Linked DNA regions of Xenopus tropicalis. The protein of the gene in region 2 purifies or fractionates together with the protein of the main gene of each other region. This does not show direct contact. Links are inferred from orthologs where the notes say so. Each region holds a gene or a part of one and is shown on either strand. Other genes may lie near its edges.

Evidence for each region. The genes of interacting proteins can lie anywhere in the genome.
Region 1: the proteins of actb (region 2) and arid1a purify together in Homo sapiens (affinity purification with mass spectrometry; 3 studies listed by BioGRID and IntAct, with this or other methods). This does not show direct contact. The link is inferred for Xenopus tropicalis from reciprocal best matches to the Homo sapiens genes ACTB and ARID1A.

The regions. Positions count from the first base shown.
Region 1 is NC_030678.2:77,709,095-77,712,747, reverse strand, and holds part of arid1a (AT-rich interactive domain-containing protein 1A), read right to left. Parts: intron 1,762-3,653; coding exon 1,561-1,761; intron 1-1,560. UniProt on the Homo sapiens protein: Involved in transcriptional activation and repression of select genes by chromatin remodeling (alteration of DNA-nucleosome topology).
Region 2 is NC_030685.2:46,572,621-46,576,787, forward strand, and holds the start of actb (actin, cytoplasmic 1), read right to left. Parts: upstream 2,924-4,167; 5' UTR 2,898-2,923; intron 1,863-2,897; 5' UTR 1,857-1,862; coding exon 1,734-1,856; intron 745-1,733; coding exon 505-744; intron 130-504; coding exon 1-129. UniProt on the Homo sapiens protein: Actin is a highly conserved protein that polymerizes to produce filaments that form cross-linked networks in the cytoplasm of cells.

The DNA of each region.
Region 1 (3,653 bases), on a different chromosome or scaffold from region 2:
AGGGTTTGAAAAGTGGGTACAATCAAATATATCACATTTTATATTGCAGTACAACTCCTTTTATAAACAATTAAGGTCCCCATACACGCAGAGATCCGCTCGCTTGGCGATCTCTGCACCCGATATCCCCACCTACGGGTCTACGGGTGGGCACTATCGGGGAGCGTGTAGTTAAAAAAATAAATAATTCGATCGTTGGGCCCTGGGGCCGATGCGGTCCCCGATCCGACTGAATTTTCTAACCTGGCCGATCGAGATCTGGCCAATTTCAGGCCAGATATCGGTCAGCCAGGCCCCTCGTTTCTGCCCCTACACAGGCAGTTAAGCTGCCGAATCAGTCCAAGGGACCGACATCGGCAGCTACAATCTGCCCGTGCATGGGGACCTTAAGTGGTAACAGTATTTTTGGGAAGCCATGCCAAGACTTGTGCTTCAGGTGTCTAGTAATGGAAGCAAATTAGATATATTTGTCAACATCACCCAATGATAACCACCTGAAGCTGCTGAATACTAACAGAGATACATTAGTGTTTTCATATCAAAAACCTTTTAGTAGTTTTCACTAGAATCTTGAAGGTATCAATGGCAGTTCTGAGTGCTTCGCCAGAAAAAAAAAAGCCCTATGAGCCTTAAAGGAAACATCAACCCTATTTTAGCTTGCATCGTGTCAGCATAGGGTGCCTTATCCCCCCCAAAACCACTATTTTCACGCCCCAATTCCACTTCTACATCCTGCACCGCCGCCTTCTTCATTACAGTATTAAGCGTTTCACCTGACTGCCATTTTCCCATCCTGACATCATCGCCCCTCCAACCTGACATCTCCAAGGAGATTTTTTCAATGAAACTATAAAAAGAACTCTTTGAAATACATGTCCTCAAGAAAGCTGTCTCAAAGCGCGCATGCTCCCCACGCCAAGTGGAAAGGAGAATTTTGGAGGGGGCCTGAGAAAGCTACATATATGCAGAGAGATCAAGGGAACCAAATCGCACCCGAAAATGAAAATTTTCCGTGTGGCGACTAATCTCCTCGTGTGTCACTGCCCTTAAGGACTAAGAGTGGCAGGTATTTAAAGAATGCAGTGAGGCTTTTTACCGAAAGATTTGTTTGGGTTGACATGTCCTTTAAAGTGGTATTTCACAGAATGGTCTATTTTTTGCTACCTTACATTTTTTTTCTATAGTTTGTAAATGTGTTACCTTACTTTTCTGCTTCTTGCCACATTTCAGATGGAGGTCAGTGACCCTGGCAGCCAAAAAAAACTGTTCAAGGCTATAACTACTGTTATTGCTACTTTTTATTACTTTTCTTTCTATACAGGTTCCTTATTCATAATCCAGCCTCTCATTTAAGCTATGGCCTGGTTGCTAGGGTAATTTGGATCCTAGCAACCAGATAGCTGATGAAATTCCAAACCGGAGAGCTGTTAAAGAGCTTAATTCTAAAGACAAAAAAAATAAAAAAATTGACCAATGGCAAATTGTCTAAGTCTATATCATACTAAAACATTAAAGGTAAACTGCCCCTTGAAGCCGGTCAAGAATATGATATCACTGTACCTGTTGCCCATACTGCATGCTCATGCCACCTTGTGGTCTTCCTTGCATGGACATAGGATATCTCTGTGGACTCTGAGAAGAGTAAGGCTGCACTGGGTATCCAGAGTGTCCCTGTTGAGCTCCCTGCTGCTGGCTGTATGGATTACTGGACCCATATGGCTGGGGTCGCATTTTTCCCATCTGATCCATCGGTGTAGCCGGCTATGGGGGTAGAAAAATGATAAAATTCATTTTAGAAAATATGCAAAACAAATATTGCTTCACTGCAAAGTGCTTGCAATTCATAGAAAAAAAGTAAAAAAAAAAGGTCCCGATGGGGACCGAAACGTAATGTTGGCTGTTCCTGCGTTTTTAATACACAATTGATTGTTTTTGGAATATAACTCTGTGTTGCTGGTCTTTTTTGGATATATATATATATTTATTTTTTGTCTTATACTGGCTTAAACCTCAGATTCAGATATGCCAATTGTAAATGGATCCTTCGTGTTAATTTATCTCATTGTATTTAAAAAAAAAAAAAAAAACCACTAGCATTTCTTGTTGTTAATTGATGCCAATGCGGAGTCTAGGCATATTCCCCCAGCAACAGTTATGTTGAAGTGGCTACAAATAAGTTGACATTAGCTGCCTTTTGGCTACTCCAGAAAAAGCGGACAGTCTACTGATCCATCAGCTAAGTGGCCAAACAGGCAGAAATCTTCTTCAAATTGTCCAGATGTGAAATAGCTTGTTGACGTTAGCTTTAACCAACAAAGCAGAATTTGAGAGACTTACAGAACCACTGCATAAGTATATGCAGCAATGAATGATTTAAACTGTACTTTTAGATTACTGGTTTTAAAAAAATTTTCAGTAACATTATACCACAGAAGAGTACTATCACCCAAATTGAGGGTTTGCATGTTGATGAAAACTGAATATAATGTAATCATATATAGCTAATTAAACCGTACCCTCAGGTTTAAAGCCTTAGTGACATTCCTGGAAAACACTATAGGATGCAGTTTGAAGTGACAACACACACACAGGTTCATTTACAATAACCCACGGCATGCAAACGACAGTTCATACACCTTGCTTCCTCAGCAAAATTTCACTGTAATTGTAGGGTCTCTTAGCAAGTTAGAGAACTTTACCATGTATCAGGCTTTAAGGTCAAGGTGTTGGAATGAGGACTAATCAGACATTACCTGTTCCCACAATAATTAACCTGCTTGTTACCTCTGGGATTAGGCTTGTGAAGGCAGCCGGTGAGAGCTATTTATATCTGAAAAGGCAAGCAGCCGAAGTGTAACAGGTCCCAGCTGTACACCCATCTGAAGTGCAGCCAAAAGCCGGCTGTCTGGTGTGGAGTGCTGGCAGGCAATGAATGACAGGATCTGTGCTCTGGGGACATTATGAGGGAAGGGGGGGGGGGGGGGGGAGAGGAGGGAAACCAACAGCCTTTCTAGATTTCCCCTCCTGAGTTTGCCACACCTAATCAACCCACCCTCACAGCCATAGCAGATAAAACAGGAGGGGCAGCGGACTCTGGCCTTGGGAATTGGCCACATGGCTAATTTGCATGACTGCAAAGCTGGTGAGGGGGTGGAGAATAAGCCCAGAATACTTGAGTGTGAAAAACAATACTAAAGACAGAGGAGGAGATCCGTTTCCACAAGCATATCAATGCCAATGTTACACTTTACTACCAGCACACAGTGACACGCAAGTAAAATGCTTCTTTTCATAAAGTGATGTTCCAAGGATTTAGCCTTGATTGTATGGGTAAATGTAAATACTGATGCATTTTTCAAGACAGTATTTGTTGGTCAGAGAGCCTTAAGACATTTCACTACAAACCACAAAAGGCCTTGCCATCCTCGGACATATATAATTATAAAAAAAAAATTGTTTTTAAATTAAAGTACAGGTTCAGGACCTGTTATCCAGAACACTTGGGGTCTGTGGTTTCCAGATAAGAGATCTTACCATAATTTGGATCTCCTTACCTTACGATTGCTAAAAATAATTTAAATGTTGAATAAACCCAATAGGATTGTTTTACCTCCAATAAGGATTAATTACATCTTAGTTGGGATCAAGTACAA
Region 2 (4,167 bases):
TGGCACAGTGTGTGTTACACCATCACCTGAGTCCATGACAATACCAGTGGTACGACCAGATGCATACAGGGACAACACAGCTTGGATGGCAACATACATAGCTGGAGTGTTAAAGGTCTCAAACATGATCTGTAATGGTTGAAAAGGCAATTAGCACATTACCTGCATAAAGGCATCCAAAACTCATGCATGTGTAGTTTCAGAACAGCATTTGATTTTGCTGCACACAACACAAATTTAGGCAGGGCCAATGTGAGGAAAAACACAAGCAAAGTGAACTTTGAAAAACAAGCCATCATTCAGCACTTTTCACACAACGCTAACATTGTTAGTATTCTACCCTTGATGTAAAACAGGCAAATACTGAAAAAAAACCTTTGAGATTCCAGTAAACTTTGAGGCCAGGACAGCCCTGTAAGGAATAGCAATTATATAATTAAAAAACAAAAAACACAAAACAAAACCCACAACCCAAACCCTCACACCAGAAAACAGGTAACATACCTGCGTCATTTTCTCCCGGTTAGCTTTGGGATTCAAGGGTGCTTCTGTCAGCAGCACTGGGTGTTCCTCTGGGGCCACTCTGAGTTCATTGTAGAAGGTATGATGCCAGATCTTCTCCATATCATCCCAGTTAGTGACAATGCCATGCTCAATAGGATATTTGAGTGTAAGAATACCTCTTTTGCTTTGAGCTTCGTCTCCTACGTAGCTATCTTTCTGTCCCATTCCAACCATGACACCCTAAAATAAAGCGTAAGACAATTTGGACTAAATTAAGTAATTTAGTAAATGAAAAGCATGCCTTAATTCAATACTAGCCAGACAATGGAATGAATAAAGTGGATTTTCATGGACCTCACATAATGCAGACTTTAAGAGGAAATTCTAGAGTAAAAGCTCTTTTGGGCAGGGCCCTCTAATTTCGTAATACTTCCTGTCATCTTGTGCTTACAGGAAACAAGAGTATGCAAGAACATTTGCTATGTTAACCACGCCCCTGTGTATTTCACAAATAAACAGAAGTAGGCAATTTGCAAAGAATATGGAAATGTAGTGTGCAAAGTACAATATATATATCATATTAAATATCTATATACACACACTTAACCTGCACTTAATTAAAATATTTTTCCATTTAAATTAAACCACATTACACTCTGAAAAGAAATTCTTTTCATGCAGGGTTGGAAAATGTAACTGGCTTTAGCACTTACACAGCATAAGTCAATAAACAGGGTTTGTGTGGACAGTATAAAGAGTTTATTTTAAATATGCCTACTCCTAGTTTCAGCCTTGCCGAGAAGTGCCCAAAACCAGCTTAAAGGAATAACCGACACAAGCCTAGGGCACAAGAGTTGGGGGGTGCCCTAGGCACAGCTATTTATGTGATTATTCCTGCCTGCAGTGTTTATTTGAAAGAGTAAAAAAAAAAAAAAAAATAAAAAAAATTGCATCATCTTATGCAACACTTTTTGGAAACTATCCTTACGTGTATGGTTTAAAAACACTCAATGGCAAATATATTGTTACCAACATACCTATAACCCATGCAGAATTGCAGTTTTATTTGCCCCCAGATTAGTTTCACCTTTAACAGTTAAATACATAAAAAAAAAAAAAAAATGTTTTACCTCCTTGGGACAACACACTGATTTGTTAGAGGTGCTTTACTAGTTTTATTTCTAGGTTTTATTTAGACATGAAATGAAAAAGGCATGAAAAGGGCATACCTGATGTCTTGGGCGACCAACAATGGATGGGAAAACAGCACGGGGTGCATCATCACCTGCAAAGCCGGCTTTGCACATACCAGAACCATTGTCAACGACCAGTGCAGCAATATCGTCGTCCATTGTAATCTGAAATTTAAAAAATAAATAAAATTGAGATAATTATCCACCCAAATTATGAGCGCTGGTATATACCACAAGGACGCTTCCTGCCCATTACTTGCATTTCATAAGGTCTGTCACAAGAGGGCGCAGGGGTTTGCACCATTTCTGTACAGATTTAGACAAAGGGAAATCGATTTATTTTCTGTATTACCAAATAAGGCAACAGCAAAGATTTACACAAGCACCCCTCCCATCCAGCCATGGATAGTGAAGGTGTGGCAAAGAAACAAGTCACTGCTGGTATTAGGCAATCGAACCAACCGACTACCACTCCCAATGTTTCATGAAGGCAACACTACAGGACAGAATCACATACTGCAGGTGTGACTCCGTTTTTACCAGTGCAAGGACAAAATAAATATATAAGATGTAACTTGCGCTTTTGTATTCTAGTTACGGATATACATGCATATGGAAAGTCTAAACCGAAGCGGGAGAGAACTACCGCCAATATATTTTAGACAGCAAAAGGCTGTTCCGACACAGATTGCATCACACACTTATACACAATATGTAGCTTTGTGTGCAGCCTCACACTAACATCGGCAGGGAACCGCCCAATCGCACATCCCCAAGCGGCGCTGCTATTGGGGGCTCAGTTTACAGAAGAGGAAACGATACAAAAAAAAAACAAAACCCTATTTTTAAATGCAACTTACAAGTTAAACCTGCTGTAACAGAAAAATGGTTCCCCAGCTCTCCAGTATGTACAACCTACAACTTCCAGTGTCCTTTATCAATTAAGATCTAATTAAGCATATAAGGAACTGAACTTTAGCACAATTCCAGAACCAGGCTTCACGCTTGTCTACTAACAAGTCTTACCTTCAAGTAAATAACGCTACATTAAGCTACCAACTATTTCAAGCACATTATGAAAAACATAGCCAATTAGAACCAAATCATGCTTATTCTAATAATATATAGAGAAAAATAGGCGAATAGAAGCAGGAAATAGCAGAGGAAAAGCACAACAATAGCAGGCTCGGCGCTACTTGCCTGAGAGTACGACACACACACTGTCCTGTTTCTGTGCGGGCGGGTCACTGAGCAGTTGTCGGGCTAGGGCGCCGGTTTTATGCTGCGCGCCCCAGCCGGCTGCACCATATAAGGAGCGTTCCAGGAACTGGGAAGCTGATTGGCTGTAGGAACTGCGGGCGAAGGGGGCGCGTAGAGTGAGGCAGTTACACCTACTAGCTAGGATGCGGATACGTATATACACAGATACGTACATACATAGATATCAATATACATATATATGTTTCATTAAATCTACACTTAGATATACCACGCCTTATCCTTTCCATTAATTGCTGTATAATAAAGGGCGCGGTGCAGAACTCTTTCTTTTTATATTCTTTATTGGCCTGAAATGATTTACTCTCTTAAAACATGGCTTTGCAAAGCAGATAGTCTGCACGTTTATGTCTGCAGAAATGTCAGGACCAAATGCAGTTCGTTAGGATTTCTGCAGCCTGCCGAGACAGTAAGCTTTGTAACGTTACAGTGACGCACTGCATTGTGTTGCGTACAATCCATGAATACAGTGACTCGATTGCACTTCTTGTCTCTAGCGCCAGCATATTGTGATAGTGCCTAGTTATTTCTTCATGTATGGCTGTGTTGTAAGGGAAAGAAAAGTATCATTATAGCACATATTTCCTTATATAAACACTTTTAAATCGCCTTCCCTGCTCTGAGTCAGCGATACTGCTCTTTGTCCATACTTCCATTTCCTATGCAGGTCAACCATTTGTTATTTAACTTTACAGTTTACAGCTCTACAATGACCTCTGGTACTCATAAACGTATTTATTGGTTAAGCTGATACTGTCGAAGATCATCCGTCCCCCTGAGAATAAAATGCAACGTATGTAAGGAAAAAAAATCTAAACTAATCTAAAGTAAAACATTTGGAGCCCCATGCAGTAACTGGAATGTGAGCTCCCCAAGTAACCAACCCTCATATCAGCAAAGACCAAGTTTATCAGCAAAGTCTAAGTTTACTATGACTATGACCTTCCCTGCCAATCTCACTCATATGTTTTTTGAAGCCTGAAGAACATGCTTTTTCACCCAGGTGCAAAAAAAAAACAAAAGAATGCAAGGGTCAGCAAATTTAGACCCTCCTTTAAAATGGAAAGAATGAATGCCCCCCCAGCGAGGAGGCCTGAAGGGGCAGGTGTCTTAGGCCCTCTTCATCAGGTCTAGGGGAGTCCTATTTATCCCCTACCCTGAAGCCAAAAGTCCTACAACTGTAGTGGTCTAT